Drosophila melanogaster: one gene and its partners. The gene in region 4 interacts genetically with the main gene of each other region. Each region holds a gene or a part of one and is shown on either strand. Other genes may lie near its edges.

What was found.
Region 1: of svp (region 4) and phyl, changing one suppresses a phenotype caused by changing the other (phenotypic suppression), as found in Drosophila melanogaster (one study listed by BioGRID).
Region 2: of svp (region 4) and rin, changing one suppresses a phenotype caused by changing the other (phenotypic suppression), as found in Drosophila melanogaster (one study listed by BioGRID).
Region 3: of svp (region 4) and psq, changing one suppresses a phenotype caused by changing the other (phenotypic suppression), as found in Drosophila melanogaster (one study listed by BioGRID).

What each region holds. Positions count from the first base shown.
Region 1 is NT_033778.4:14,425,177-14,434,636, reverse strand, and holds phyl (phyllopod), read left to right. Parts: upstream 1-2,299; 5' UTR 2,300-2,543; coding exon 2,544-2,729; intron 2,730-5,892; coding exon 5,893-6,909; 3' UTR 6,910-7,301; downstream 7,302-9,460. UniProt on the Drosophila melanogaster protein: Essential adapter component of E3 ubiquitin ligase complexes; involved in R7 photoreceptor cell differentiation, embryonic nervous system, external sensory organ development and specification of particular muscles.
Region 2 is NT_033777.3:13,644,039-13,651,284, forward strand, and holds the start of rin (rasputin), read left to right. Parts: upstream 1-2,965; 5' UTR 2,966-3,162; exon of another isoform or gene 3,163-3,231; intron 3,232-3,344; exon of another isoform or gene 3,345-3,508; intron 3,509-4,783; exon of another isoform or gene 4,784-4,879; 5' UTR 4,880-5,030; coding exon 5,031-6,459; intron 6,460-6,770; coding exon 6,771-7,021; intron 7,022-7,135; coding exon 7,136-7,246. Other genes in the region: sqd (squid), read right to left, coding at 1,715-1,881.
Region 3 is NT_033778.4:10,554,950-10,562,298, forward strand, and holds the start of psq (pipsqueak), read left to right. Parts: upstream 1-2,938; 5' UTR 2,939-3,427; exon of another isoform or gene 3,428-3,584; intron 3,585-6,736; 5' UTR 6,737-6,855; coding exon 6,856-7,005; intron 7,006-7,076; coding exon 7,077-7,241; intron 7,242-7,349.
Region 4 is NT_033777.3:12,278,516-12,285,540, forward strand, and holds the start of svp (seven up), read left to right. Parts: upstream 1-2,594; 5' UTR 2,595-3,079; coding exon 3,080-3,734; intron 3,735-7,025. UniProt on the Drosophila melanogaster protein: Receptor that is required in photoreceptors R1, R3, R4 and R6 during eye development; generation of the ganglion mother cell-2 (GMC-2) fate in the nb7-3 lineage, coinciding with the transition in the expression of HB to KR in the neuroblasts (NBs).

The DNA of each region.
Region 1 (9,460 bases), on a different chromosome or scaffold from region 4:
TATTGGATATAACATTAAAATATATTTAATCGCTTACAACGATATATCTTTTACATATTTCAATATTTATTGGATATTCAGGATTCTAAATAATAGATCTTGTGGATGGTTTTCGCTGAATGCGAACAAAAGAAATTCAATTACTGACCAAAATTATGCTAGACCGATTGAATTCATTTTTCGCCGCCGCAATTCGCCTTGCTTTGAATGTTAGGCGCCACCTACAGTAATTTCTTGAAAACTGTTTGGTAGCGACTGGCGCTGTGACTCCATAGATGTCGCTGGTGTGACACTTAAAGGCAACGGTATGTTTAAAATAAATATATTTCCTCTTAAAGTCAAATTGCATAAGAGATTAAAAAAATTTGATGTACAATTAATAAACAAACAATGGCGTAATAATTGTTTTTAGACGGTACCCTTTAGTTTTGCGTAGTGTAGTTTAGCTTTAATAGTGTTTAATTGCGTAGTCAAAGTCGAAGTAAAATAAATAAGAGCAGTGATTTAAAAATGGGAATACAAAAAACCGAATTTTTTCAAATGCACCAAAACCATTTGTTTAAACATATTGATAGGATCACAATAGAGATCTTGATAATAAATATTTAAATGCTTAACCATAAATCTCCAAAAAAAACTTCGTTATCCCATTCTTATCCTCGATATCTCATCCTGGCACCTTGGGCACTTCCTCTCTTGGGATCCCAGAGATCTACATGAAAATTTGATACGCATATGTCGCGGAAATCGATCGATCGAGGGTCCAGTTCCGGATACATTATTCGTTCGCCACGCAACTCCCTCGCCTGATTCCATTCATGTATTCATTCATCAGAGGCCTCGATTGCGCTTGGAACCTCCGTGCCCCATACTTACTCCTTACTCCCTACTGCCTACTCCTTACTCCCTGCTCCTTACTCCATTGTTTACTATCGTCGAAGATGCGTAGTAAAAGTAGCGGCGAGCAGCGCCAGTTAACCCAGTGTCTGCGATCTGAGAAGATCGTCGCAAATCGGAGGAGCGGACGAAGAAGGTTCGGACGAAAGAAAAAAGGAGAAGAAACATCTGTCGCCACGAAGAAATCCGGTTGCAAGCTGCAACACCACCGGCTCAAAATGAGCAACAACACAGAGAACATATGATTGAACTGCCCGAATGCCGCATAAAAATGGGTAAAAAACGAAAAATCGAAACGCACCTTTTGTGTTTTTGTTTTTTTTTTTTTTGTTTTTGGAGCAGCTGCCGTTGCTGTCGGTGCTTCGTCGCCGTTGCGGAGGATCGACGGGTTTGGGGGGAGCACCAGACTCTGCACTCGGCAGCCTGTTGATGAGCCCACAATGCGCACATGCTGCAAGCTATTCGTGCCGCGGATGATATGGGCTCTGTGTTGAGCCGGCGGGTCCTCCATAATGATAAGTGCCCGTCGAGGAGGCCGTCCACATTAAATTCGGCGTTTGTCGCTCAATGGCAGCTGCCACCGATTCCTTCGGCGGCTTAAGCAAATCCAAAGGACTGGACGCGAGGGACGAGCTTGAGTGTCGAAAGTTCAGATAGGTCAAGTTGTCAAAATATTCGGAGACAGTTGTCGGTGCTTTTCGATTCATTCATAAAATTTGCGAGGCTCTGATCGCTGAATGAATTTGGCAATTCGCCTTGCAAGGCAATAAAATTATAAAATAAGGTTTATCAGCAGGTTAAGAATCATTAACATTGTTATTCCTTATTTTTTATAAATATTTATTTGGCATAAAAGTATATCAGTCATCAGAATTTTATTCGTGGTTAAATTGTCAAACTTCTGCTGCATATTTCCACTGGCACTGCCTTTTGTTATCCGTTTCCTGTTTCAGAATTCGCACTAGTCATCCTAGCAGTCAACATCCCTTTTGGCGCCCTTAAATGTGAACATATGCCGCCTGTTTGTTTTGTTTCGGCTATGTCACCCTTATGGTTGCTTTTTCTCTCACTGCAATATTGGGTTATATGGTACATGTTTTCATTTTTCAAAAACACCAGGCTTAATCTGAGCCCAAAAAATTGCATTTGAGTATAAAAATTATACAAAAATAAATAAATATTTTTAAATTTTGTTTTATATTTGAAAATATATATATGATTTGAAAATATGATATATTTTGCATGACTTTTATTTCATTAGTGTCTAGCTTATCCTTTATCTCTTATTTTTCCCATCGATCCGACAACGCTCGCCACTCTCGCATGTCATTTGCCAGATGTGGCAGCCCGCAGGCACAAATTTTGAAAGTGGTGCCCAGAATGCGATGAGGACAAGCAAGGCTCATTCGAAATTTGTGCGTGCAACGCGAAGGACGTGCCGCTCCGTAGCTCGCTGTCCCGCTCTCGCTCTCCCCGCTCTCTCGCTCTGTCGCACGCGTTCGCCGCTTGGCATTTGTTGTTTGCCACATTTTCGCGGCACCCCAAAAAATCGTGAAAATACAAATACAATACGAGTGCGAAAGTCGAATATCGGCAGAAGTTAGTGCGACCTTTGGTGACGTCAGAGGCTGGGAAAAATCGCCAGGATGTCTACCAATCAGCAGCAGCAGGCGAATCCTTCGGCGGCCGTTGCCGCACCCGCCGCCTCCTCGGAATACCTGAAACGCACCTGCCTCATCTGCGGCTGCCACACCAACCAGACGATCAATATCTACGAGCCCCGCTCCGGACCCAATATCGTTCAGCTAATCCAGGCGAAATTCAAGTTTCAGGTATGGATTTTTCCCAACTTAGAGCAAAAAAAATAAAAACTCAGTTAGGCGGGGAACGTATAAAAATCGATATTGGGGCAACTCGGCGGATGAGTCATGCAACGAAGGAACGTCCTTCGGACAAAGTTTTCCCTCTGCGCGTGTATCCGTGTGTGTTTTTTTTTTTGGGTTAAAAGGGGATGAACTTCGCTGGGCGGAAAATGGGAAAATGGGTGGCACTTCTATAGGCAGGTACAGGTAACTCCCTCACAGCAGCCCACTGGGAAAAAAAGAGTGGCAAGCTATTTGATGATTGATTTCGAGCGCAGTTTTCTAATATTTTTAAGTGATTATTTGCAAAGAACTAAGGTCTCGGAATTAGTAGTTCTATCACAAACTACTTTCTTAATGAAAATTTCAAAATCCTTTATCCCTATTAGTTTTGTGGTATGCCCACCTTTTCCTGTGCCCTTTAAACTGCATATCCTGTCGCCGAGCAGATGATGCATTTCCCCGACAACCTTTGGTAATTGGACACTTTGCATATGTGCCAGTGCCACAGAGCCGCCACTTAGTTCGATTCCTTTCCCATAATTTTTAACAGCTTGTTCTAATATGCGAGCAGTGCGGTGTGTGTGTGTGTGGGAAATGCGACAGCGGAAGATGGCCAGGGAAATCGATCCTGGCTGAAGATCCTGGGCTTGTTTTTCTGTGGAAGTGAGTTTCGGGTCTCGGATTACAGGCACTCCTCCTCACTCAAATGACTACCCATGACTACCTGTACCGGCGGCGCACACATAAACCTGCTCGAAAGGGCAGATGTGCTGTGGATTTGCCGAGATTGCTCCAATTTCTGCGGGCAGTGAACGAACCCGGTGTGTTCGTTCTCTTCGTTTCCATATCCCAAAACGACAGCTGTATTTGCCGGTCGGCACTCAAAATCCAACCCATCGGGGTTTCTGGATCCTCTGCTGCTGCTGCTGCTGCTTCTTTATCAGCTCTTCATGGTCTCGAGTGAGTTTTTTCGCATATCAACTATTGAACTCGGATACCTGGATGCGAGTTCACAGTTTATTGTTTGTGAGACGAAGGGATTTTCCCCAGCAGCATTGGTGGTTGAACCCTTGGAGAATGCCAAATATCTTTGGATAGAAATTCCGGTTTCTTAAGCTGCGCAAATCCAAACAAAGGATCTACCCTTGGAATAGCGTTTACAAAGGTGATTTCAAATGCCCGAATTTTCAGCCGAAGTCCCAGAAGTGCCAAGCTAGACAAGATTTCCATTTAGAGGTCTTCGTTTAGTTTGGTATTTTTGGGAAATAGTTTTTACTAAGGTTTCCGTTCAATTGGATTACAAAGTCAGAATGAGAGTTCTTAAAACGAAGTCCTATAAAAACATAAACAATATTAAGTGGTTGCTAACATAGGTTGTTAAAATATTGGGTAGATATTGGTAGATTGTATTTCCACATATTTTCGGAATATATGTTTCGGTCTTAGATTAATTGAAGCATTGTGCTTAACTAGTATTGTGTGTATAGCAATCAATTTAATTACGAAATGCTCGAGACGCACGCAATGCGATTTCATAATAACAAAAACCCTCAGCTAACCCCGCAATATCAGACACTAGAAGCTCACCCTCTATGCACATAGAATATATATATATTCACCCCCTCCGGACGTCGTTAGAATTTCGTTTGAACCGTTTTTGCGAAACCCTATACGGTGGGCATACACCACCTGCCGTGATCGTAGCCTGGCAACCGATCTCCCCCACAGGAACAACACCCTCGCCGGGTTCTCTATAAGCTCGAGTTCTGAATGACAGTGCCATAAAGTCCAGTTGCAATTACCTTATCAGACTGCGCCCCCCCACCTCCCACTCTTATGCACTTAGAAAAAAGGAACATTACAAATTGAGTAAATATGCAGCTATATTAACAGAAGCACGAAGAGTTGTTTTCAAACTAATAGAAGTACTTTTAAACATATTTTTCATGTGCCCATATTTAACTGATCTTAGGAGTGCACACCTTTTTCTCGCAGTGCATCTGCGATCGGCGTGCGTGCGTGTGCGTGTGTGTGTGTGTGTTTGTGTGGCTTTCTGTCTGCTTTGCACCTGGCCTGCAATTTGCATTATTATACCGTTTACACATGGCCCTTGGAGCACACCTTTTCAGCGCCGAACCCAAAGGTAAACAGCCAGCCACAATCGCTCCTGATCCTTTCTACCCTGCACACCTCCTCCTCCTCTATCGCCATCCTGGTCGATCCTTTCGGTTCCCCGACCCTCGTACCGATCACCTTTATCTAATTTCTCGGCGCAGCTGTCGCGCATGCGCGTGCCTAATGGTCGTCATAGTTGGGGTTTTAACCCAGTTCCCGCTTCGGTTCCACTTCGGCATTATGTGTTTTTTTTTTTTATATATATGGATAGGGCGCGTGGCTCTTGGCCGAAAACGAGTTTCCTTCGAGGCTCGAACTAAGTAGCGAATGTCCCTTTGGCTTGTTACTGGTTACTGGTTTTCCGTACCTTTTGGGCCAGCTGCTACCGCTGGGCGCTTAGTTTTTGCTGGCAGGTGCACGAAATTATTGATACCCGAGGAATGCTGAGGTCTGGCTGGGTAATTAATATGCCCGGGTCGTCTGGCAGTTGTTTTTCGGAATTGTTATGGTCTTTTTTTTTTTTTTGCACCTCTGGCTGGATGCTCATTAGTGGTAGTGGTGGTGGTAGTGGTCGGGTGTCGCGAGCGATCACTAAGTGCATAGGCGTATCGTAATTTTCTAGAGGTTTATTCTGTGGGTTATGCCTGGCTTCAGATTGCGAGTCACGCAATCGGATTTGGGTCAATTTTCATTCTAAGGTTGGTTCCTGATGACCTTAACGGTTTCATGGCTATAATCAATAAATGATTGGCCTTCGTGGCTCTGCAAGTTACAATGTAACCGCCTTCGGTTCTTTCTAATGGCTTTTTATCCTTTACTTGGAATGCTACATATCAGTCTAAGGCAGTAAGCAATTTATAAAATGGGTTATTACTCAGCCATTAAATTAATTGAAGGACCAAATGAGTTTGAATAGTTATGATTAGTATATTATGATTAGCAATAACTTTATAGTCTAGATAAAACTACTTCTACTACCCGTACTCATCTATTCCCTATATATCTCTACTTTCAGCCCCTGAACGAGGACAAATTCCTCTGCTTTAGCTGCAACAACTGGCTGATCAACTGGCACTCCCTGCAGGCGGTCAACAGCAATGAGGCCGAAAGCCAGAGCCAAAGTCCCTCGCACATGGGCAACAGTGTGCTGCAGCAGGAAAGGACGAAGCTCCGTCCGGTGGCGATGGTTCGACCCACGGTGCGAGTGCAGCCCCAATCGCAGCCCCAACTGCAGCCCCAAGTTCCAATTAATCCCACACCCGCACCCATAGTCTATTCGAAGCGAAGAGCCAGCAGACGCAGTGCCTCCGTCAGCCGGATGAGCCGAGTGCTGCGCCAGTGTTGTGTGGAGAGTCTGCGGCGGAGTCCCAAGAAGCGCAATCAGCAGTCGGTGTTCGTCTGTCTTAGGCCGCAGGGCCAGAAGAGGAGCAATGCGATCTGCAAGGTGGAGTGTGTGGCGCCGCGCCGGAAACCAGTGGAGCGACTGGTTAAGGATGTGGCAGCTACAGCTACACCCACACCAGTGCTCAATACACAATCCACGCCCACTTACCAAAGATTCCCGCAGCCCAGTGTGGATGGCAAAGTAGTGGCCATGTTCCGTCGACTGGGAACCACACTCAGTCGGGAAGAACCCGCCGCATATTCAGCAGAATCAAACCCCGCCTGCTCGAAACTCCCGCAGATCATGAGTCCGCTCAAAGAGGCGCCGCGCTGGACGCGGGACCTCGATGATGATGAGATACTGCTGGAATTCGATACCGCCATATCCGAAGTCCTGCCAACTGCCCGCTATCAGGTTACCCACGAGGAGAACAAGGAAAACCAGCAGGCACAAGAAATGGAGCTGGAGCTGGAGGAGGAGGAAGAAGTGGATGGCCGAGCGGAACTGGAAGTGGTGCAGGAGGCGGAAGCGCCACTGGAACCGCAGAGCCACCACAAACAAGGAAACAGCCACCAAAATTCCCACCAAGCTTCAATCCAACTCGCTGGCCTGCGATTACCAATGGGCCTTAGCATTAGCCTCGTCTAAAAACGATGGGTCCAATTGATGCCCCGCACACAAAATAGTCAAATTGCATGCACAATACGCAAATTATGAGCATTAGCAAATGTCTAAGTTAATAGTACCTCGATTACATTTTAATTGTTAGTCAAATACCTTAATTAATTAGCGGACAAAAAAAAACACACACACACAAAACAAACAACAAAAGACCTAAGAATGTTAAGTTAACGGATGTGGAAAGCTATATTTAAAATATACATATTAGTCGTAGGCAAATCCCTGACTTACCCAAAAAAAAAAACAAAAAAGAGAATCCCCTCGAGCCAATGTAGTTGAATTTGTTTGTTTGCTCCAAAAGACAAAAGTATTTCAAAATAACATGCGAAATAAAAATAGCACAAAAGCAATCAGTATATAAATGAATGTTTTTATATTTAAATGTACGGGTGGTATGAATTTTCTATTTATTCCGAGGAATAAGGAGTGATCTTTATGAAAACCAAATTAATTTTACATTTCCCGCCAAATGTTACTCATCCAATTAAATTTTTACGTTGAAAAGTATGCACTTTTTCTCGTTACTAAATTGGGGCTGCCAACTTGTTTTCTTCACGGCGCCAAAAAGTATGCTCTAATTTTTCTGTCTTGTGGCGCCAAAATCAAAATGTAGAACTGCAGAAAATTTTCCTACAGAAAATATTTCTCTTCAATATTTAACATAAAATATGAAGTACGAGAAATTAAATTGTTAATTGTTAAATTAACTAAAATTACTATGTTTTACTTAAAAATTTTCTGCAATATATTTGCTAATAAGTTAACTAATAGAAAAGCTAAGAAAATTCATCACATTAGAAATCCATTTTAAGATATTCCAGAACCAACGAACGACATGCTCTTAAATACATACATATATCATTAGTTTTCGCCTTGCGTGCGAAAGTCCGATGTGTAATTGTTGATTTCTGATGCTCTAGCGTATTTATTTGATTTAGGCAATTGCGTAGTGAGAACGAACGTGTGGAGGTCAGCATCGTCGTTGTTGTTGTTGTTTATGCAACTGAGACAGCGGTGCGTATACTTATTTTGGCTTACAATATGGCATTTCATCAATACACGAACTGATGACTGAGTGGCTGGCTGGCTGGCTGGCTGGCTGGCTGGCAATTGTGGTTTCGCCGACATGACTGGCAACGTTAATAATGTGGTGCGGAAATTTCTACGCGCACTTCAAGTACGCCTTATTGAGACGGCGACTAAGGTTACTTTTATTTATAAATAAAATTCATCGTGCCTTCTGAACTTGAAGATGACTTGCCGCCACGTCGAAGGAGACGGAGAGAGCGTGCAGTTTCCGGAAATCGCGTATACGCCCGATGGCCGTGCGAAGAGCTTACGCCTCGCGATTCTCGCCACTCTGCCGCCTACGAATGACGGTCAAGGTTGAGGCAGCTTCGAGCGGCTTGCCACACGGCACGTTCTACGTTCTGTCAGTCAGAGATTAAATCATTGAGTGCTGTGCGACATTTTTAGCCCGTCCAAGGATGTGCGGTCTTGCCAAAAAAGTGTAGACTTGTCTAAGGTTAGTGATGCACCGTGAGAAACGTACTTAAGGAAATCGTTTATTTAAAATAAATATTATTCTAAATATCGATATAACCGATCTGTGAAACACGTTTCATACTCATAAGATGTATGTAAAAATATTTAAATTATATCCACTGCCAAGGAATTAATGCCTAATTCAACTGCGATAATTCACATGGTTTATATTTATATCCATTTGCTTGAGATGAACTCTCGCTTAATGAGTGCAAGTTGTTCTGGAAAACACGAGATGTTCGACTGGTTTTCGTTCGGTTCCTGTTTGAGCACGTTTAATTAGCATAAATTTAAAAGTGAATTCGGCAATAAAGCCCCAGCGGCAGGAAGCTGAATCAAGCGATCGTTTGAACCCCTGCTACATATGTGATTACAATAAGAGCCTGTGGGGCATGCACAAACCCCACATATATCCCTCCCCCCCCCTCCCACGAAAATATTATGCAATGTACGCACAAAATGCTTCCCGTTGGCTAGATCGTATATTTTGCTGCACTTTTGAATTTTGCCCACGCGGTGAAAAATTGTGCGACAATTAGTTCAGTGCGCTGGCCAAGCGCCCCAAAAAAACTGGTTTTCGAAAAACACAAAAAAAAAAAACAAAGTATTAAAGTATAAAAGTCAGGCTGCTGTGGGCGGCGCGACGGGATGCGTGTGTGCGAAAAATCATTCACTTGTGTACAAGCCAGTATGCCCATTGAAATTGTTTAATAAATCGAAGCCGAAAGAAACCGAAATCGAGAAAAAACGAACTCGGCTGAAAAGTGAACAACAAATACCTTGGGACCGCAAAAAAATCGCACGCACGGCAACGATTAAGGCATGAGTACTCGAAATTCAGCCCCAGAGGCTGGAGACAAGGCAATAACAATGCTAACGGCCGCTTTATGAACAATTATGAACCGCGGGCGAGTTCGCCCCAAAATCAAAAAAAAAAAAAAATAAAATACAACAAAATACAAAAGCAAAAAGT
Region 2 (7,246 bases), 1.4 Mb from region 4:
TCATTGTGTTTCTTTCTTCGGGCGATATATAATGTATAGTTTTTGAGCTTCATAAAACAAAACGAAAAAACTGCGAGTCTCTTTTTCACTCGGTCTCTCTCTGTCTCCGATTACTTGGTACTTTTTTGTTTTTCTTTTTTTTTTAGGTAATTTACAAGTTATACGTTAAGAGATACAATACAATATATACTCGTATACAGTTTACATATGGATCCAATTTTAAATCGAGATTATTTCTTGATAATTTTGTGTGTTGATAGTTCTATATATTGGCTGACTGACTGATTGTTTGTTTGTTTTAGTTTTGGATAGATAAATACCATCAGCATCAGTATCGGCGGAGCGGAGACTTTTGGAGACTGGAGTGTGGAGAGGGTTGCATATCCTCCAAGTATAAGTCCGCCGAATCCGAATCCGAATCCGTAACCGTTTGCCGGGGGCAGGAATACGAATCCAAATCCATATCCGAATCCATATCCGTCTTGAGCATAGCTTAAAACCCTGACCTGGGGCATTTCACTTCTCTCAAAACCTGCCGGAGAGGAACAAGGTTAGTTCGCTCACAAGACAACAGGATAAGCTATGATTTTCGATTTAATTTCTCCATTTCGTCCTTCTTCCTTTACGGGGAATAATCTGCATCTGCTTCGTCAGCGCTGGTTTCGTATTATCGTTTAAATGTACAGTATCGTGTGACTTAAGATTAAACTTAGATATAAAATGATCATAAAGGATGGGCAAATGAAGTGTACGCTAGACCTAAAAACCAAAACGCAGGGGAGCAAACAAGAGGACCATTCTACTTGATCATCATTATCTCTATGCTTTAATCCATCAAAATTATTTATCATTTATAATTTACATTAATTGTTCGTTAAATTAATATTTTGGCGCCTTGGCAACTCCAAACAACGCCGGCTGTCGCTCTCTGAGAGTAAGAGCGCGCAAAAGAGGTGGCGAGCGAGCGAAGCCGGCAAGCAAGAGAATAAGTGAAAACTGCAAAACACGCACACACCTACAGAACAGCGGGCGTTAGGTTGGTATGTATGCCTGTATGCAGCCGCCATTTTGGGTACAAAACTGGAAGAGCACAAAATAACAACGAAATAGCCGAAACAAAGAGTAATGCGAATTAAAAAGAATACACTGACAAATACAAACATAACTTTTTCCAACGTTTTTTTTCGCCACATTTTTTGCAAGTGAAAGGCAACCGTATGATTTGTGTTCGTATGCGTCACAGTGTGTCTGTGGGGCAACGTGGGAAACAAACATAACCTCACAAAGGGGAGAAAATGTGCTCCTAGCTTAAGAAAACTCTGGTTTTCATTGCGGAAAGTGCGTGTGTGTGCAGGGGAAAACGTTGAAAATTTTCCATGTCTCCCGAGACTGTGATGATGCATTTTGGCCCGAAGATTCTATTAATATGACTGAAGTACAGTCGCACCGACACCTCACACACACACACTTAAACACACTCCGACGCACGAGCGCAAGCGAGAGAGAACACAAAAGGGGTCAGACTTCCCCCGCAGAACCCCGTAAAATCCAATGAAACTCGACCAACGACGTTAGCTTTGCATTTACGTAACAGAGTAGGCAATATACACTATGTAGAAGCAGAAAATCTATGGGGGGCACATGATCATCGGTTGCCCGTTGCAAAAATAAAAAAGAACAAAAAAAAAACGTATCCGCCGGATAATGGACATACCTGTCGTCGTCCCGCTGGCCGGATGCGGCCGATTGGTTGTCCGAACTGCCGTTGGTCGAGCCGGCGGCGCCCGCATCACCATTTTCAGATCCCGGACCGTCGGCAGTCACGTCCTTGGTGAAATCCTCGCCGTTTATTTCTGTATCCACTTGCTTGTTCTCGGCCATTTTGTGTGTTTTCGACTGATCTACTAATTTCGGGGGCTAGGCAGCACGATATTCGTTTTTTACGCAGAGCCGGAGATTTTTATACACACTCGCCAAAAAGTCGCGCGTACGAATGAAATGACGACCGGAAAATGATAAATGCAAACGACAGCGTGTGTATATGGGTGCGGCGTTGCCACCTTGATGTTTTCCCAGTCAAGTCGATTTGGTATTATTTTGGTAAATATTTGTATTGTATTTGCTTGCTCTACCTGGAGATTGTTAGCTATACATTTGCCAAGGATTAAATTGGGATTTTCTGTACGATACCACCCCAAATAAGCCTATATAAGGAGCTAAATGGGCGCGTGACTTGTCTGCTTGCAGTATGGCAGCTTTGATTTATACAATGTACACACACCTATGAAGAGAAAATGAAAAGAATACCAAAAATTTTATACAAATATTTTAAAGCCCAGTTTACACAATGGACAAGTTACTTGGTTTATAAATTCATTTTAGTTGTATTAAAGGTTTAAATATTTAAATAAATATTAAGTATTTCATAAACATTTATAATTTTATAAATATAAAAAATACAATGTTCATTATTTACTATGTGTTGGGAACGAAAACAACATTTACATACAAAGAATTGTTTAAAATCGAATTTTCATATTAACTTCTTATAGGCTGAAACATCAACAATATTTTAAATCATTTAATTGGTTTATATTAAATATTTTTATTTTTTGCAAAAATTTATACAATTTTCATATTCGGATTTCCCAACAGGTTATAATATAACGTTATTATGGTTTTTATTTATTTGCTATATAAAATGTTTCCTTTAAAGAAAGGTGTTTCATGAGCTTACTCAAAAAATCGGAAATGGCTAAAATGAAAATAAGTTTTATAAAACTATTTAAAAGAAACTTAGCGCCCCTAAAATGAGCTTAATTGAGCTCAAATATGAAAATATCAAATTCATCAAAATATTCTATGGAACATACTAGATTAACCACCCCAAAAAAAGAAGTGTGTGCACACCCTTGGAAAAGCCGCCATCATTCACACACCAACACACGCGAAACCAAGAATAAAACTGTGCAGAGGCAAAAAAGAGGAAAAGAGGAACGAACGTCGGTTCTCTTCTCGATTCAACACACTTGTCCAATTTCATTGCGTTTGCGATTATTTTCTACTCAAAAGCCACAACATATGCATCGTAACTTAATTCAACAACAACTGTGATCGCCAAACATCAGAAAGCAACAAAAAATACACGTCAAGAATTGCCAAGTTAGTTATTCTCAAAAAAAAAGACAAAAAGAATTGCAACAAACTAGACTAGTGTGTGTGTGTGAGCGAGTGAGTGCATTGGTGTGTGTGGCTGTGTGTTTTGTGTGCAGCTTGCAATTTTATACTGCATTTCATACGTTTCGACTATCGTTTTGTAAATTAAAAAAACCGCATAATTTCAGCGCTCCACTAAGAAATCCAACTCTCCCCGCCCCCCGCAGGAAGATAACAAAGAAAAGTGCTACAAAAAGTGCCGATTTTTCGGCAAACTTCAACCCAAAAGCAATACACACTGTGCATTACAAAAAGGAAAAATAAAAACGAGGAAAAATATCGCTTAAAAAAGGTGAGCCGGCGACGGCCTCGTGTGCGCGGTCTAGAAAAACTAGCATTTTCCATTTTCAAAGGGGTGGCGCATACTAGGAAAAAATCAACATAAAAAATGCTAAATGGGCGTATATTTTATTATTGCGGCAGGGCTCTATCTCTTAAATTTTTTTTTTTACCATTTTAGCGGCTTTTTTTATTATCGCTTGTGCATAACCTAAAAATGTACGAAAAATTTTGTTTTTGTACATTTTTGTTTAAATGCTGCTCTTCAACTATAGCTTTCTTTGTTCTTCCTACACACGCGGTTCGCAAGCAGAAATAGAGTGGGAAAGAGAGAACCCGAAAGAGCGGCGCGTTCATAACCGAATATGTGTGCGTGTGGGTTTGCCGCAACTCATTGTGCATTTTTTGTTTTATCGGCAAATGTTTATGGCTAAAATGGGGCAAAGGACACCTGCAAACATTGATATTTACTTACACCTTTTAACGCTATTTCAAGTGTTTTTGCAAGGCAGCAATTTGATATTTTGGCCAAGCTGGAGTTCATTGTATGCGGCGCCACAACCTTGAGACCCGAACATAACCTCAATTTAATTCATGCTCCTCGCTTGGCGGCTTCTTTTTTTTCTTTGCCAAATTGTATGAGGTCATTTACTCGCGCACACACACACACGTGCAAAGTTCAGTCAGCCAGGATCGCAGGCATAAAAGCTGGAGCACGTGCAGGGTTAAATGTCCTGCGACGGCAAGCAAATTGGAATTTTTCCTGACAGCTGCACTACACCAAATTTCCCCTTTTCGCATGTGCAAATGTGTGTGGGCCCCAAAAGTGGGTCAAACTGCAGCGCGCTGCGTCTGTTTTATATGCACTGCGGTAAAATGAGCTCCCTGTTTTGGGTGTACAAACCTCCCCCCCTCCCCGCCGTCCTTGTGACCAAGCGAAACTCTAGATCCTTATTGGAGAGCACAGCAGGGGTCAACACTTTGGTAGTCAGTCACATTTCTCTAGAAATTTATGTAAAAGAAGCACAGATTGATTTAATGGACAGTCTGAAAATCCAATTAAATTTGTTTCTTATATTTGCGTGTTTTACCGTTATCAAGCCTTAATTCTCCAAATTAAATTTACACGTGATGAAATTAACTGATAACACAACTAGTGATTCATTATGGTTTCTATACTTTTACCGGCACAGGTATGAATAAGCCATCTTTGAACACCTTTTGGAGATTGTAAGAAACAGGGTAGCAGCTTCCTTTAATTTCAAATTATCAGATTGAAAAATCTACACAGTCGTCTAGGACTTTTGCCAACTTTTCTTTTTTTTTATTAAAAAAACCAGACAGATTTTCATAGTGCGCGTATATTTTTTGCACTATTTCGCAGACGTTCCCACACTCTCAATCGACACAGATCAGCCACCGTGTCGATAGATCCGAGCAGCAGCTAGAAAGAAGGGAAGCAGAAATTGGAAGCGGAGACAAAGAATCCGAGTCGAAGAGTCCGTAGTTCAGAGAGGAAGAATCAAACGCCAGCTATGGTCATGGATGCGACCCAATCGCAGCAGCCTTCGCCGCAATCTGTGGGACGCGAGTTTGTCCGCCAGTACTACACGCTGTTGAACAAGGCGCCCAACCACTTGCATCGCTTCTATAACCACAACTCGTCGTACATCCATGGAGAGTCCAAGCTGGTGGTCGGTCAGCGGGAGATCCACAACCGAATCCAGCAGCTGAACTTCAACGATTGCCACGCGAAGATCAGCCAGGTTGATGCCCAGGCCACTTTGGGCAACGGTGTGGTGGTTCAGGTCACCGGGGAGCTATCCAATGATGGCCAGCCGATGCGGCGTTTTACCCAGACGTTCGTTCTGGCCGCTCAGTCGCCGAAGAAGTACTACGTGCACAACGACATCTTCCGCTATCAGGATCTCTACATCGAGGACGAGCAGGATGGCGAGTCGCGATCGGAGAACGATGAGGAGCACGATGTGCAGGTCGTCGGTGGCACTGTGGATCAAGCTGTGCAGGTGGCCGGCGATGTAGTTGCCCAGCAGCCGCAGCAACAGCAGGCTCCTCCGCAGCCACAGGCTCAGGTCGTGGTGCCCCAGCAGGTAGCTCCTGTAGCGGCCGGTGGTGCTGCCCCACAGCAGATCTTCTACCCATTGCCAGCGGGTGCTGCCGCCGGACGTCCTGTGGCTGTTTTGCCACCAGCTCCGCAAGCCGCTGCTGTTCCACTGCCCGCGCAGTTCACCGTTCCGCCGCCACAGCCCATCCAGAACGGTGTGGTGTCGCACGAGGAGCTGCAGCAGCAGCAGGTGCTGGTCCCACCCAGCGTGTCTCCCCTGGTACAGCAGCAGCAGCCGACCGGCACGCCTGTGTTGCCCATTGTTCCAGTGCCAAGCGCGGGCTTCCAACAGTCGCCACTGGTGGCACCACAGCTCATCCAGCAGCAGCAGCAGCAGCAACCGGCACAGCTGCCCCCGCAGCAGCAGCAGCAGCAGCAACCTATCCAGCAGCAGCAGCCTTTGCAACAGCAGCAACAACCGCTGGCTGAGCCCGAGGAAGTGGAGGTGGCGCCAAGGCAGCAGAAGCCTCCCACGCCCGTCGAGGATTTCAAGACCATTCACGAGCAGCAGCAGCAGGAGAAGTACGAGGCCGCCAAGCAGCAGCAGAATGAGCCCAAGACGTACGCGAATCTCTTCAAGTCCACGTCCTCCTCGCCCAGCGGCTTTGTGAACGCCGCACTGCAGCAGCAGCAACAGCTCCAGCAGCAACAGCAGCAGCAGCAGTCCATCAGCAGCAACACCTATAACTCTTCCTCGGCAACCTCGGGTGGCGGTAATGGCAGTCAGGTTAGCTACTCCACCACCGCTTCGTCGTACAACAACAGCAACGGCAACTCGCGACTGGACAACGGTGGCCCGCTGCCGCAGCGAAACAACTCGATCCGCAACAACAAGGGTGGTAAGTTCATCGTTCCACCCTTAAATTAAAAGGGGTCATTCCCCTCTATTCGGCTTCAGGGTAAAAAGACTAAAAGATGTAGTGCAAACTTTTGGATCTCATGTAGAAATGAAAACAGTGGTTTCTAAGAATTACTTTTTTAGTCCCCTTATAATTTATTATGATTGGCTTACGTTCAGATTTTTAGAAAGGTAATGATTCATTTTGTTGGTTTACTTTCTTATCAACTTAAGGTTGGCTTATATGATAAGCAAAATTGGGTACCGCTTTTTAGAAACTCTTCCTAATAACTTGCTGTTTATACTTTACAGACTTTGAGCAGCGTCGCTCGAGCAACACGCAGCAGTTCGGTGATAATCAGCAGCTGTTTTTGGGCAATATACCGCACCACGCCAGCGAGGATGATCTGCGCGAGATCTTCTCACGCTTCGGAAATGTCCTGGAGCTGCGCATTTTGTCCAAGGCTGGCAACAAGGTGCCACCAGGCATGCGCAGTCCGCTGAACTACGGATTCATTACCTACGACGATCCTGAGGCGGTGCAAAAGTGCCTGGCGAACTGCGTAAGTTAAGCAGAAAGTAGATTTAATTATTGGAATTGCTAAGGTATCTCTTTTATCTCCTTACTTTTACTGTGATCAGAAAGGTTATCTAAACATATTCTTTCCATTTCATAGCCCCTATACTTCCCGGAGAACTCACCCGATGGCCAGAAGTTGAATGTGGAGGAGAAGAAGCCGCGTGTCCGCAACGACATGGTGCCGCGCCAGCAGATCGGTGGCAACAAC
Region 3 (7,349 bases), on a different chromosome or scaffold from region 4:
ATGCAAATCTTCTATATTTAACTGTAATTTAAACTCGTTATCTATAGAAAATTGTTTAACAATGTCTCAATTGTCTTTGCGATTTATTTGTTTATTTGTTATGAGTACAACTTACAAGTATTCATTTCCTTAACTAAAGCCTCTTACTCAATGAACGCCAATAAATATTACTTTTACAAGTAAAAATATTATAAAGTTTATGATTTTTAAACACAAATTTCTTGTTTTTCTGGTGTAAACCTTAGAATATTACACCTTTTGCCAGTTGTAATTTAGAACCACTGGCGCCACCTGTGGGCCACACTTGTCTCTTTTTCAAAGCAGAGCAGAAGGGCAAAATGCTGACCTTAATATGCATTAATTGTTGCAGCAGAGCGATTCTAATGCGCTCACTCTCATTTTCCGACTCCCAATCGCTCTCTCTCTCTCTCTCGCCCCCTTTCTCTCGTTCTCTTTCTCCAGCGGGTTTCTTTCTCCGCTCCCCCACTCTGTGCATTTTCCATTTACGTGCTTTATGCTTTTTTTGGAGCAGCGCGCTGTTTCCATTTCGATCCCAATTACTGTTGTTGTTGTTGTTGTTGTGGCCTCTTTGTTGGTGTGGGGGATCTTTTGTTTTGTTTGTTTGTCCTTCTCTAATTGTGGAACCTGTGCGTGTGTGTGTTTTTAGAGATGGCACGTCAACGGGAATTTTGGTGGGTGGTGGGGGCATGTTAAATCAATACTGATTAACTGGGATTACATTGGGGAGCATTGAAACTCCCACTTTAATATGAATATTTATAGGAGCATTGAGTTTGCAGCTAAAGCTATGTATCTAAATTGCTCCAAAAAAGAAACCTTTGAAAACAATGAATGCATTCGAACATAAAATCAACTTAATATTCATATGAACCTATTGTATTTTTAGCTATTCTACACGTTAATTACACTACCTTATAAAATAGAACATAATCTTAAATTTAAAGTTTTGCTAATTTATGTATTTGTACAATGTACTTTCATATTTATGCCATTTATAGGAGATTTTTCCGCAATAAAATGATCACAGAAACTCTTAAAAGTTCTTCCTAAAAACTTATGAAATTCTTTGTTCCTGTGCAATTTAAGATATTTAGATTTAGATTTAGAGTTTGGGCAAAATGAATTCTAAATATTTGAAATTGTATATGGAAGGTATTCTATAATATTTTGGCATAAGTATATATATTTAGATTTGACCGATTAACTCAAATGATTCAGCCTCGTGACACGAAAAGTTCCACCCGCCACTCAATCCGCAGTGCAAGTAACTAAGCAAATGCGATATGTGTGTGCTTAAATGCATATAGCATGTTTATGGGTCTGCCGAATGGGGTTTTTCGAATGGAGTAGGGTGCGTTTGTGGGTTTTGTGGCGGGGGGAAAGGGGGGATGGGTATTTCGGTGGCCTATGTGCGCCTATAATTATAAGGCATATACACTATATACATATGTACATGGGCATAGCATAGCTGCGTGTTTTTCGTCGGGTAAATAGGTGCACACGTCAATTGCTGGAACGACCTCAATGGGTTCCCACTTCCAGGCCCCCCCTTCCACGGCCCACATTCGTTTGATTTTTCCGCACTGGAAAGTGGGAAAACCGGAGCAATTATTTCCCGATCCGATCATGCTACAATTATGTATGTTTAATTTTTTTTTTTTGCTGCTGATGTTGTGTTTCACTATTCACCATTCCATTGCCGTGGAGCTAGAACATGCAATTATTTTAATGTATTCGGCCTTGGGACTCATGAATGTCAATTGGCACGTAAGTTCTCCATTAGCTATTAGCTTTTACCCGCGGCTCCACGCATCCAAATGCAAATCTCTATATGTATATATAGATATGTACCTAAATGTGTACATACAAACTCATATGGTTTACGCTGCAAATCAGTCGTTTTGTATGCTAGCTTCGTTTTTTTTATGGTTTTTTATGGGGGCTAGGCGACTCCCACCCACTCGCACATATTTATACAAATTGAGACAGCGGAAAAAGTGCAACTCATTTGAATGGTTTCGCCTTCATTATGCAAATACGAGCACTGTTGGTGGCGAATATTTATTTGCTCATTATAAATACATAGAGTTTCTGGCATTTTAGCAATCATGACTTGCACGCACACGAGCATTAAACGAGTTTCTAAAATTCAGTGTAATGATCGAGTTTTATGGGACTATTGCATTCGAATTTGAACTGAGTGGGCGCCAACATATCGATAATATATAATGACAGTCGATATTTTCATAGCAACCAGCTTTCGCTGGGCTCGCTGCGCAACTAGGTGGCAGCTCTGAAATGTATATTACATGTAAGAAATCCTTTTACAAACTCAATAAATAATAATAAATGCTTGAAATAAATGTATATTTCAATACTTCTAAAGCATTTTATATATTATGTTTTTATTGGTATTACGGAAAACCTCCAACTTTCAATTTTAAAGCATTATATTTATAAATAAAATAATTCTACAAGCAAAAAAACTCATTTAATCCTGGAAGCACTTATGGATTTCACATTATAAAAGAACTGATTAAATGTATGAAGATACATCATTTTATTAACGTACATTTTGTAATATTTAATTTTTTGAATTTTCAGTTTCTGCGCGCCCATATCAAAGTCCGTAGCAAAAAAATCAATATAGGAAATGCAATAGGTGCAAGCGGGACGACCAGCTGAATCGAGCGGCGAAGCAAAGAAGACCCGATAAGGCGATGCCACCTAGTTAGAAACTAATAAGTAGTTGCATAAATAATACAGTTTTTTACACAATAGAAAATCCAAATGAGTTCTCACTCAATTTTAAAGCAAGTTATCTACTATTTGGAAACACTACCCAAGTAGTTTTCAGCCTTTGAGCACCTTTTGCTACATTTTAGCACCTTGCGGCGATCTGGCAGCGCCACACGAAAATGGCGAACACGAGCACTCCGATGAACGACGAGCTGAAAAAATAATTATTATTTTAAATTCCGTTTTGCCAGCGAAATTCGGTGCGTGCGCGAAAAAGAGTGCGGAAAAGCGCGGTTGAGAAATTTAATCGGCCCATTATGAAGCGGTCAAAGTGCGGCGCCAATGCAAATGGTTAGCCAAATGGCAAGAAATATGTAGCGATAGCGTGCCAGCCCAGTAAAATCAAATAGAATCAAATTTAAGTTTCTTGCTTTGCGAATTATGAAAAACCAATCGCAATGCGTGTGTGTGTGTGTACGTGTGGTGCGTGCGCGCGTGTGTTAGTGAGCGAGCGTAGAAGCAGAAGGCGTAGCGAGAAATAAAAATAAAAAACCATACAATAATTGATTTAAAAAAAAGAAAAGCAAAAAGGCCAACAAACGAAAAACAGCAGAAGCAACAAAAACACACGACAAGCGGCAGCAAAAACAACAACACAAAACTGGCGGTAAATACGCATACAGTACGATACAAAAAAATAAACTAGAAGCAACAACAAATACGCAACGTAACGGGAACTCTTTGACGTATTTCCTCTATTATTATGCAAAAAGGCAGGCGGCAAATTGCAGCAGCAGCGAAAATCAAATATAAATAGCGAAAAGGTAAGGACAGAGGCCCCACAAACTAAACTAAAAATAAGAGCCGAACATATTTGTTGTTTGCAGAGTGCAGTAAAATGGGTGCAAATAAATGGGCAAAAGAAAGAAGCAACAAAATACTGCAAACCTTTCAATTGGCTTCAATTGGCAAATGTAATTGTTCAGCATTACATTTGCATTACACCGCTCACCAACTCTTGCTCCCTCTCACTCTCTCTCTCACTGTGTTCTCCGCTTTTGCGCTCCCTTTGCCCCTTTTACTTTGCAAAGTTTTGCGACGAACAAGAACAATAATAATCAAAACAAAAATGTTTAAAATCCATTTTCTTTCGCCTCTCCTTCACCCACTCACTCATTTCGTAGCGCGCTGTCATTTGTCTTGCGCCTTTGCCTCCCCCCCTCTTCTTCTTCTTCTTCTACTTTACGTTGTCCCCTTCTTCTCTCTCTCCCCGCAACATTGCCGTCTCGCTCGCTCGCATGCACACCATGCACGGGTGAAGAGGAGACGTAACGAAAACGAAGTTGGTTTGCCTGGAATGCCACAGTGGGTACAAAAGGGTTTGATAGTGGTCACAGTCGACACAGTGGGGTGGGTATTTCATTATTCTGCAACAGAAACTCTTGTTATTCTTATTAAGTCAAGCAAAACTAGCAAAAATAAACATTTCTAGCCGGCTAAAAAAAAACTCAAAATCCAATCCAAAATCCAATAAATATTTAGTACAAAGTGCAAGATTGCTAATAAAATAAACCAAAAGTATAGCACTTACTTTTTGTAGGAGATGAAGGTTGTTAAAAGCATTCATATATAATTAATACGAATAAATTTATTTTATTTAAGTTCTAAATTATACGTACTTATCATTTTATATAAAGATTTACATTGCCTTATGCAGTGATGTTACAATCATCAATGTAGATCTTATAAGAATCAATAGGCCGTCCGTAGGTCGGGTAGGGTGTAGAAACATAAAGTGCAGTGAGGAAATATTAAAGGGCAAGAAAAAGTGAAAAAGCAATAGCACAAACATACAAAAAACACGAACACACATTATCCATTTGCCAAATAAACATGCACAAAGTAAGAGAAAGACGGGGAAAATGCAGAAGAAGAGGCTCCAAAAGGCGGCAAATCGCTGCATGTGTGTGTGTGAGCGAGAAGGCAACAATGGGACGAACAATATAAAAAAAAAAAAACGTGGAATTGGTCTAGTAATGTAAGAAGAAGAGCAGTAACAACGCGGACGAACGGACCGCATAATGCGCGTTTAATGATAAGTCTCTCTGTCCGAAACGAAGAGAGAGACATGGAGAGAGCGCGGCTGAGAGGCCCGCCGATTTTCGAGTGGGTGGCAACACCTAGTCTTCCTCTTTCTTTCACACCTTTTCTTGCCGCCGTTTTGTTTTGATTGCGAGTCTTCTGCGAAATGAAATGCAAATACAGTGGAGCAGCCTTAAGCTCGTAAACTTTTACATATACAATAAATGCAAATAATTTAAAATAAAACAAGTTTGGAAAATGCAACTATAAATTTTCTTATTATTTTTCTTAATTTGACTTCGAAATTTGTAAACAAAGATAGATTTCGAATAAATCAAATCAAAAACATCTCTTTGAGTATCCACTGTGGCAACTGTAACTTTGTAATAAAGAAATCCCTTGAAAATCTGACTTATTGTTCGGCATAAAATTGTGGTTGCATTTTAGCCTCCGCATTGGAAGTTGCAAGCAAAAGTTGGCATCTCCTCTCTGTCCGCCTCTTCGTCGCTCCATTGCCTCCCATTTTATTTGCACGGCAAGTTGCCTCCTCGAGCATCCTTTCAGCATTCCTATTATTCTTTTTTATGTTCCTTCCTTTTTTTTTTTGACAATGCCCCAACTAGCAAAAACAACTTGCAGGCACCAATACGTGCCATTGAAAACGAGAAAGGGAATTTAATCCGAAAAACACTGATTTCAGATACTCTAACTGCTACTTGGGGATTTTGTTTGAATGTTAATTAATTTAAAAACTAGTAGTAAATGGAAAAATGTAGTGTAAAAAGAGCGTTTTATTTGAAAATACCATTTATTTTGTTGTAAACATGTGACCATACTATGATACCCTTTTAAAAGGGCATACAAAAATGAAGTTTCACTGAAAACTGGTTTCAGTTTCGGTTTTCTTCCTTCTGGCCTGGCCCAACATTTTACATGAAAATGTGCAAAACAAAACCATTCCGGCGGTGCTAAAAACCACGCGACATGACCAGCACTAAATAAAGTTAAAATAGTAACTATTCGTTGAGCTCATAAGCTTTAAAAAAAAAGGTAACTTATGTTCGAAAATAAAACAAAATAAATTAGCTTGAATGGAATGTTCATTCATATACAAGTAATTTTGATTCTCTTCGGTAATCATATTCATTGGATTATTTTTACTCTAAACAGATTGGGAAAGCATACTAAATTGTTTTTGGTGGGTTAAACTTAAGTTAAATAGGCTGCTACAGAAAACCTTCTAGGGATAGAAACTAATAAGTTTGTTTTGAAAATCAGGACTTCAAATGCATTAGCATATTGTGATCTAAATCTCTTGAAAGTGCTAAAGTCTCGGTTCAAAAGTAATTAAAAATTGTTCTTCAATTCATACGAACTTGAATGAAAACGTTTTTAGTTTTATTATTCTTATAGAGTTATCAAAATAGAGAGTTGAAGGGAACTTAATACTTCAAGAACTTAAAAACTATTTTTATGTTAGCTGTTCAGGGTGCTACAATCGTTAATTACCATATTTCCCATAGGGCATTTACAATTCGACCTGCATAGCCTGATAGCCATTGACTATTCCTCCTACCTGTCTTCGGCATAGTTTATCCACCCCCCACCCCCCTGCCCGCCACCTCCCACTTTGCGTCTTATTCCCTGTAACTCGTTGTAAGGCGCTGTAAGGCTCTCGAACACAATGGACCGACTGGCTGCAACTCCTTTTGTGGCATCTTCAACATGTGGTTGGTGGTGGTTCAGTTGCATCGGGAACGGCAATTCGCCAAGAACTCAGATAGGAGGATGCAGCCAGTTGTCCTTAAAGTCTCTGTATTGATTGATGATTTGCCATTGCAACTCCTCGAGTGAACCGCATTAAATTGATGATTTTCTTCGGCTTTTCCCGCAGTATACTGGAGTATACACACATTTCCGCAGCGTGTTGAGCACGCCACAAGCATAAACAAAAGTGAGCAACAGGAATTCAGCTAGGATTCGGCGTGAAACGAATACGAAAAACCATACGAAATGGCAGCGGTTCGAGGACATCAGTATTTCAGTCTGCGCTGGAATAACTACCAGAACACGATGACGTCCGTGTTTCAGCAGCTGCGCGAGGATCTCTCCTTTGTGGACGTCACTCTGTCCTGCGAGCATGGATCCCTCAAGGCGCACAAGGTGAAGTATCTCGATATATGTATCTACACTATAGTTATGAAGCTAATCAAACTTTTGTTCAAAAACTCCAGGTCGTCCTGTCCGCCTGTTCGACGTATTTCCAAAAACTACTGCTCGAGAATCCGTGCAAACATCCCACAATTATCCTTCCCGCCGACATTATCTTCACCGACCTGAAAACGATCATCGATTTTGTTTATCGTGGTGAAATCGACGTCACCGAATCGGAATTACAGGTGAGTCGATATACTAGTTGTTAGTTTTTGCAGGTGATTCTAAAATAGATTTATCATTGTAAGAACGATATAATAGAGAATATATATAGAAATACAAAGGAATTTCAT
Region 4 (7,025 bases):
GAGCACAAAAAATGGCCAACCAGGAAGGGAAAGAGTAGTATGGTGGGAGGGAGGGAGGCAAACTGGGGCTTCTGTGGCAGCGAGTGCAAAAAGGCGCTCAAATGGGGTTGTCAGTATTTAACCCACAGGGGTTGGAGGTGCCGGCTGACTGCGCGAACTCCGCAGAAGTCCATGTAACCAGTGGATTGAGGATTAGGGATGGGGCTGGGTTTCGAGATGGGGTTACCTCCAACATGGATGCGAGTGCGAGGCACACTAACAAGAGGTGGCGAGGAGCACAGGATTAGGTTCACAGAAAAGGAGCCATCAGGATGTTCGGGGGATCGGGAGATCATCGCCACAGAGACCCCACACACATAAGTCATATGGCCCGAGAAAGAGAGACGCTGCCAATTGAATTAGACCCTAAACGGGGCTGCCAGAGAGAGACATCTAGCGGTGTTAATAAAAACCCAGCCAGCCAAATGCTTTTTGTTCCTTTTCGGCCGCCTTTATGGGGCAGAAAAAAGGCAAACGAGCGAAATTCCGATACAGTTAATGATATGGCAGTGGAGCCGAGAGAGATGGAGCTCTTGGTCAGAGTGAGATTGCTATATACTGGCTAAGGGGGCGTGGCCTGCGAAAGAGCAAGAAAAACTTGACGAAACTCTAGCTACTGAGTGAAACCGAGTCCAATTGGAGGTGGCTCTCTCTCTCTCTTATTCGAGTGCAAACGCAAACTCGGGGTGGCGTATCGTTCATCATCCAATTGTACGTTTGCACTTCGCTCTGGCCTTCCCATGGCCTTCCCAACCCCCTTGATAACCACCGACAGAGGGCGCCAGACTCCGTGGCCCGTTACGCCCTGCGCCCACCCACTCCACTCATACATTTCGTTGGCAAGAGGTGGGCGGGGAAGTGCAAAGTGCGGTGGCCACAATTTGGCCCTTTGGACTGGCCTGCAACTCTTGGCTTTGCAGCCAGCGACACTTTTCCAATATTTTCCATTTCCCCAACCACCCGTTTTGAATGAAAAACGAAGTGGCAACAGTGTTGCGTGGCATCCAGCGATTGCCTTTAAGTTTTCACTCTCCAGAAGTTAGTTGCGTGCAAATGGGCGGTAGTTAAATGCTAATTTCAAATAAAAAACCAAGAAGTAACAGTCGCCAAATGGACATATCAGGTTGCGCGAGGTGTCCTCGTTAAGAATGAATTCAATTATCGTTATGATTTCATGTTTTGGCACTTCCCCAACCACATTTCCACCAGACACGTAAACAAAGTCAACAAAGTACAAGTCGAGGAGCCCAGGGACTGCAGTGCACTGATCCAATTAGCCAAGGGAAATTATTATAATTATATTACGACAGTCAGTGGGCTTCACTTGGCCACGACGGCTGCTAAACTTTCATTTAGGGGCAGTCCCCGGGTATATTGAGCGTTAATAATACGATGCGTTTTCGTTGCGCGACATTGGGGTCAGTATCGAGTGCCACTGCTCTTCACATTTTATGAATCGGTATCTGGAAGCAATGCAAATTTTATAAATATTCTCTGCAACACGTGCTTCTTGACAGACATTTTAATGACAACTTTTCAATAGCTGAGTATATCCCATTTATTTAATCACATAAAATTCATATAAAAGCAAGTCTGTTAGCTATTTATTGATTGCTTAGAGCAATAAAGGGCCGCTTTAAATATTGGCTTATTTATTGTTGAATAGCAATGCGATAAAAACTAATAAAGCAACTGGATCTATAATGAGTTATATATATAAATTTTATTATATAATTTTAAAAATGGCAACGGTTTTTCTTTTGGTTTTTTACAATCATATACCTTTTTCATATTGTAATCTATTCGCATCACATACAATCCTGCCACCTATCATCGCACTACCTTCATGAGTAGCAGAGATAAGCTCGATGTTCTTTGGTTGACAACCAATAGAAAAGAAGCTTTAAAGCAAACATTTAACCGCGAACGGGCATTATGGCCGCCAAACTCTTCCTCCAGATAAGAAATCGGACTTTAAGCGCCACTGAAATTGGTGAAATACAAAGTAGAACGCACTTTAAGGCGGTTGGCCAACCAGAGCAGAAACATTCGAGTAGCCAACAAAAAGATAAACAGCGCCGAAAAACTTTTTTCGGGGTGGAGACTCATTTTAAACAAATTGGCAAAAAGTTGAGACCCCCGAAACCGAAAAGTCCGGCGATAAAGAGCCTTAACGGTAAAAGTATCTAACAGATGCGCCCAACAGCGAGCTAATAAGAGCAAACGGGTTCTAGTTGGATTGGATGAGTGAGTGAGTGTGCTTCGTTGAGTGAGAGAGCAGCCACTCTGTTTCAGTTCAGTGGTGGTGGTGGTGGGTATACTGGGTGCACTGGTGGTGGTGGTTCAGTGGTGGTGGCAAACCAGCCAAACGCGTCGAAGGTCTTGCCCCACCAACGCGAGCGAGCGAGAGCGGCGATTTCACTCAACTAGAAGGCAATGCCAGCTAAACGAGAGTGAGCAGACCAGCACCACTGCCCGTTTGAGTTGAGTATGGGGAGCGGAGAGAGATTTGTGTGATGTGTCGTTAGGTCGAAACGGTCGAGTCGAGTCGGGTCGGGTCGTGTACCTTTTGCCACGAATGTTGTGCCAGTCAGGCTCTAAAAGGCCTTACGAGAACAGCTGAGATTTCGCTGCTCCGCATGACGCAAAGATACCGAAATTGAAAAATTTTCAAGTCTTTAAGATATTATATCTCGTGTGTGCGCCGAGCGGGAAATTAATAAGCAACATCGAAAAAATTCAAAAATTCAAAAATAAACCAAGTGTTTTATTAGTGAAGCCAGCTGAAATGTTAACAGCATATGCAGCTTAAAAGAAAATATTAAATTTATTTTAACATAAAGAAGAAGAATTATAACGCGGCTGACAAATACGAATAAAAGGATACAAGTTAAAAGCTAGAGCCGAGGACTCTATCGAAACCAAAGTGTGAACCGTACCAAGTGCGTACAAAGTGTATTCCAGCAATTATCCCACGTGTTCCGACCCGGCCGCCAAAATTATTACGCACAATTCGCTGAGCGTGTACGGCGGCGGCGTCATGTGCGCCTCCCCGTCCACGGCTCCCGGCTTCTTCAATCCGCGCCCGCAATCCGGCGCGGAGCTGTCGGCCTTCGACATCGGCCTGTCCCGCTCGATGGGGCTGGGCGTCCCGCCACACAGCGCCTGGCACGAACCGCCGGCCTCCCTCGGCGGTCACCTGCACGCCGCCTCCGCCGGACCGGGCACCACCACCGGCAGCGTGGCGACGGGCGGCGGCGGTACCACTCCGAGCAGCGTGGCCAGCCAGCAGTCGGCGGTGATCAAGCAGGATCTCTCTTGCCCCAGCCTCAATCAGGCGGGATCCGGCCATCATCCTGGCATCAAGGAGGATCTGTCCAGCAGCCTGCCCAGCGCCAATGGTGGATCCGCCGGTGGCCATCACTCCGGTTCCGGATCGGGTTCCGGTTCGGGCGTCAATCCCGGACACGGCTCCGACATGCTGCCCCTGATCAAGGGCCATGGCCAGGACATGCTCACCAGCATCAAGGGACAGCCCACGGGCTGTGGCAGCACCACGCCCAGCTCCCAGGCGAATAGCTCCCACTCGCAGAGCAGCAACAGTGGATCCCAGATCGACAGCAAGCAGAACATCGAGTGCGTCGTCTGCGGCGACAAGAGTTCCGGCAAGCACTACGGACAATTTACCTGCGAAGGTGAGTACACTGCGAGAAATTATATTCAAATAGGGGGGGAAACAGTTAGAGTGAATGTGTGAGCTAGGGATGTTACCACTCCACCAGTACATTAATTGTGCTTATGCCATACATGTCAATGTATCTATTTGGTGCCATCTTGAGGACCATCACATCTTGGCAATTTTTATTGCTGAGTAGCGATCTCACCTCCAAGGTGCAATTGGGGGTCAATTGATTTCGTACTCGGATTCGAACTGGGGATGACCAAACAGAAATGGCCAACGTAATAGAAAGCGAGCACAAAAGCGTGCCTGCCAGCCGCTGATTTTTGACAGTTTCGGTGAGTTATGGCAGTTTGATGAGTTGGCAATAAACCCTCGGCCAGGTGTGGGTGTGTGGCGGAATGGTAGAGCAGTGGGAATTCTTCCCAGGGCCATGCAAAAGTTGACGGGATGCAGCTGGAATGTATATCTGTGGGCCAGGGCAGTCAATAAACCTACGTGGAGCCCAAAAGCTAGTTAGTTGATCGGGGGCCCCAAATCATGTAAAAATGTTTTTACGAGCAAAAAATACATTTATGATCTAAAATATAGTTTGGTTTGACCCCAGCGAGATTTATGTTTGCGCATAAGCTTACTGTCTTTTGCTGATATATTATTGTGTCTAATTAAATTTTACAGCTGCAATTGCCCCTAAAGTGGTGATAAAGTATCTAAAAAAAAATCCCTGTTCTGGCAGATGATTTTCCAGATACTCAGATACTTTTGCATCTCCGGCCATCATTCCGTTACACTAGAGCTCGCAGCACGAGAGCTCTTGAATATAGCCATATATATATATATATACATATATTGCGATCTGGGCACCCACTGCCTCTCGGCCTTATCGTCAGATAAAAATTATTATCTAAATAAAATACGGTCCGTGCTTTGTCCTAAGCCAAACAATTGTTGTGCAAACATGCAAATTGTGCGGCGGCCGCTAAATGAAGCGCCCACCTTCTTATTGTCTCTCTCACTGGGTTTCTGGATAAGGGGAGCCTCACCTGGAGTTCCGGAAAAGAGGGGTGGCAGATGGGCAATGGAAGGCGGGAGGCGGGGCAGATGGGTAACTGCATTCAGAGATAGAGGGAGATCTGGCATACGCTCTGGCATTTAGTGCAGCTTGAAGTTGAACTTGTCATGCTCGTATCTCTTCAAATGTTCTGGCACTGGAGCACACAGGCAAAGCCACTGCCACAGCCACAGCTAAGAGCCAAGAAGTGACTATGACTGGGCAGAGGCACAGTGGGCCATTGGTATGATGATACCAGAGATTCCCAGATACTTGGCACTCCGTTGGCTCCCACTGTTCGTTCGCGGGCGCTGCTATTATTATTAATCACCGAGCATTTTGTACGCATGCGCAACCCACAAGAGCAACAATCAGAAGATATGCGGCTCTGTGACCGCCTCGTTGCATTCTGAAGGTGTTTCCCCGGATCCCTTCATGTGGCATAGTATGTAGTTGCCTGTTGGCCTGATGATGTTGCCACGATAGCAATCTATTTTGTTCTATGCAATCGCCCAGACTGCAGAGCTGTAGCTTTAGCTTCACTCAAATGCTGGCGAAATAAAACGTAGGAATAATCATAATAAAGCGCATAGAGCCCATATCATTGCCGGCGTTTTCAGGGTTTTTTTTTTATGTTTGCTACTCTGGTGCCTGGTCGCGTCCTTTCAGCTGATTCACTTCGAGGTGCAGATACTTTTCGTGGCTCTTAGAAAAGAAAGATACTCCACTCCACACCACTCCGTTGCGCGGCAACTCGTTTCGGCTGTCTGAGCTCTAAACTCGTGTGTGTCCGTGTGTGTGTGTGCTCACTTGTCCGTCTGTCTGGAGGTCCCTTCTGTCCGTATGTCTATCCGTATGTCCAGTTTCCAGGTTTCAGGGCACACGGCTAGCTATAGGTATGGGTATAGGTATGTGAATTTATGCCAAGACACCCCGCCAGTCGCGGTACTCGTAGCTGCAAGATTAATTGTAGCTTATGCGTGTTGTCCGCTTCTCATTCCCCTTCCCCCTTCATCATGCTTGCCATCCTGCTGAACAGAAGATCCTCCTGCCCATGTCCTCTCATTGTGGTGGCAACTTGTTTGATTTCGCGCCCAGCTGTTGGTGAAATTGGGAGGACGAGCGGCCAAAAGTCTTGAGCTCATCATCGGCAGGCCGAAGCGAATGGCAGCCATAACCTTTAGCCAACTGGAAAAGTCACGGTTTAGTGCCGACTGAAAAATGTGCGCTGATAAAAGTGCCTCGATAATATTAATGATGAGTGCATGGCTCTAATGTGGCAAGATCCCTTTACGTTCTGCCCCCGCCCCCTGTATCACCTATTAATTTGGCTATTTGTCATGGCTATTAGTGTGGCCGAAAAGCTCAGATTTCCCGTATCTCTCGGCTAGTTGCACAGCCATCAATTAGTGCTGCAGCACAAACAACGGCAAGCTTGCACAAAATATTACTGCCACCATTTCTAGGAACCCAATTGAATTTCCAATTTCGACAAGAAAACTATCTCAGCACCCATGTCAAAATGGGAATTAGCATAACTTAGTGGCGCACCGCGCACATGACAATGACAAATAAATTTTGCGAAAAATTGCCAGCACCACTAAGTACCAAGTACCTGGCATGCAATTAATTAAAACAAACATCGGGTAAGCAGAGCAGGACCACAAGAGTGATGGTGGGGGGTGATCATAAAGAGCTGTAAAAAATTGCCATCCCAACTAATTGTTAAGCGCCAGCCGAGCCCATTAGCTGCCACAAATAATGTGTGTGAAGTGCAGCCGCCAGCCACAGATTGTCAACTTGGGGCAGCATAAATAATCCCGACATTTTCCAGCTTGTTCCATTTGCTCCAGCTATATGTATGTACTATGTACGAGTATGTACATTTTCCGCGAACGAGCTTACATCAAACTCATTTAAATAGATTCCCACGTTCGGCAATTAAGGCTCAGAACCCAAAAAAAAAAATCCCACAAGCTCAGGCTCCCAAACCCAGGTCTTTGAAAAGATGAGGAGAAATGTCCGAATTTTTTAATGTCGCACAATACTTGGTCAGTATACGGAGATTTGGCGGGGAGAATCTTGTTTCCTCTGTCTTCTTCCTTTGTGCAGAATTTTATTCAGCATGTGTGGCTTTTTAATTAACTTCATTATGATGTGGGCAAATAACTTGAGTGAAAAGATTAAGAATACTGTACTGGGGGAAATTATATAGATTTTGTTATGGTGTTTCTTGATAAATATACACTGCTTGAG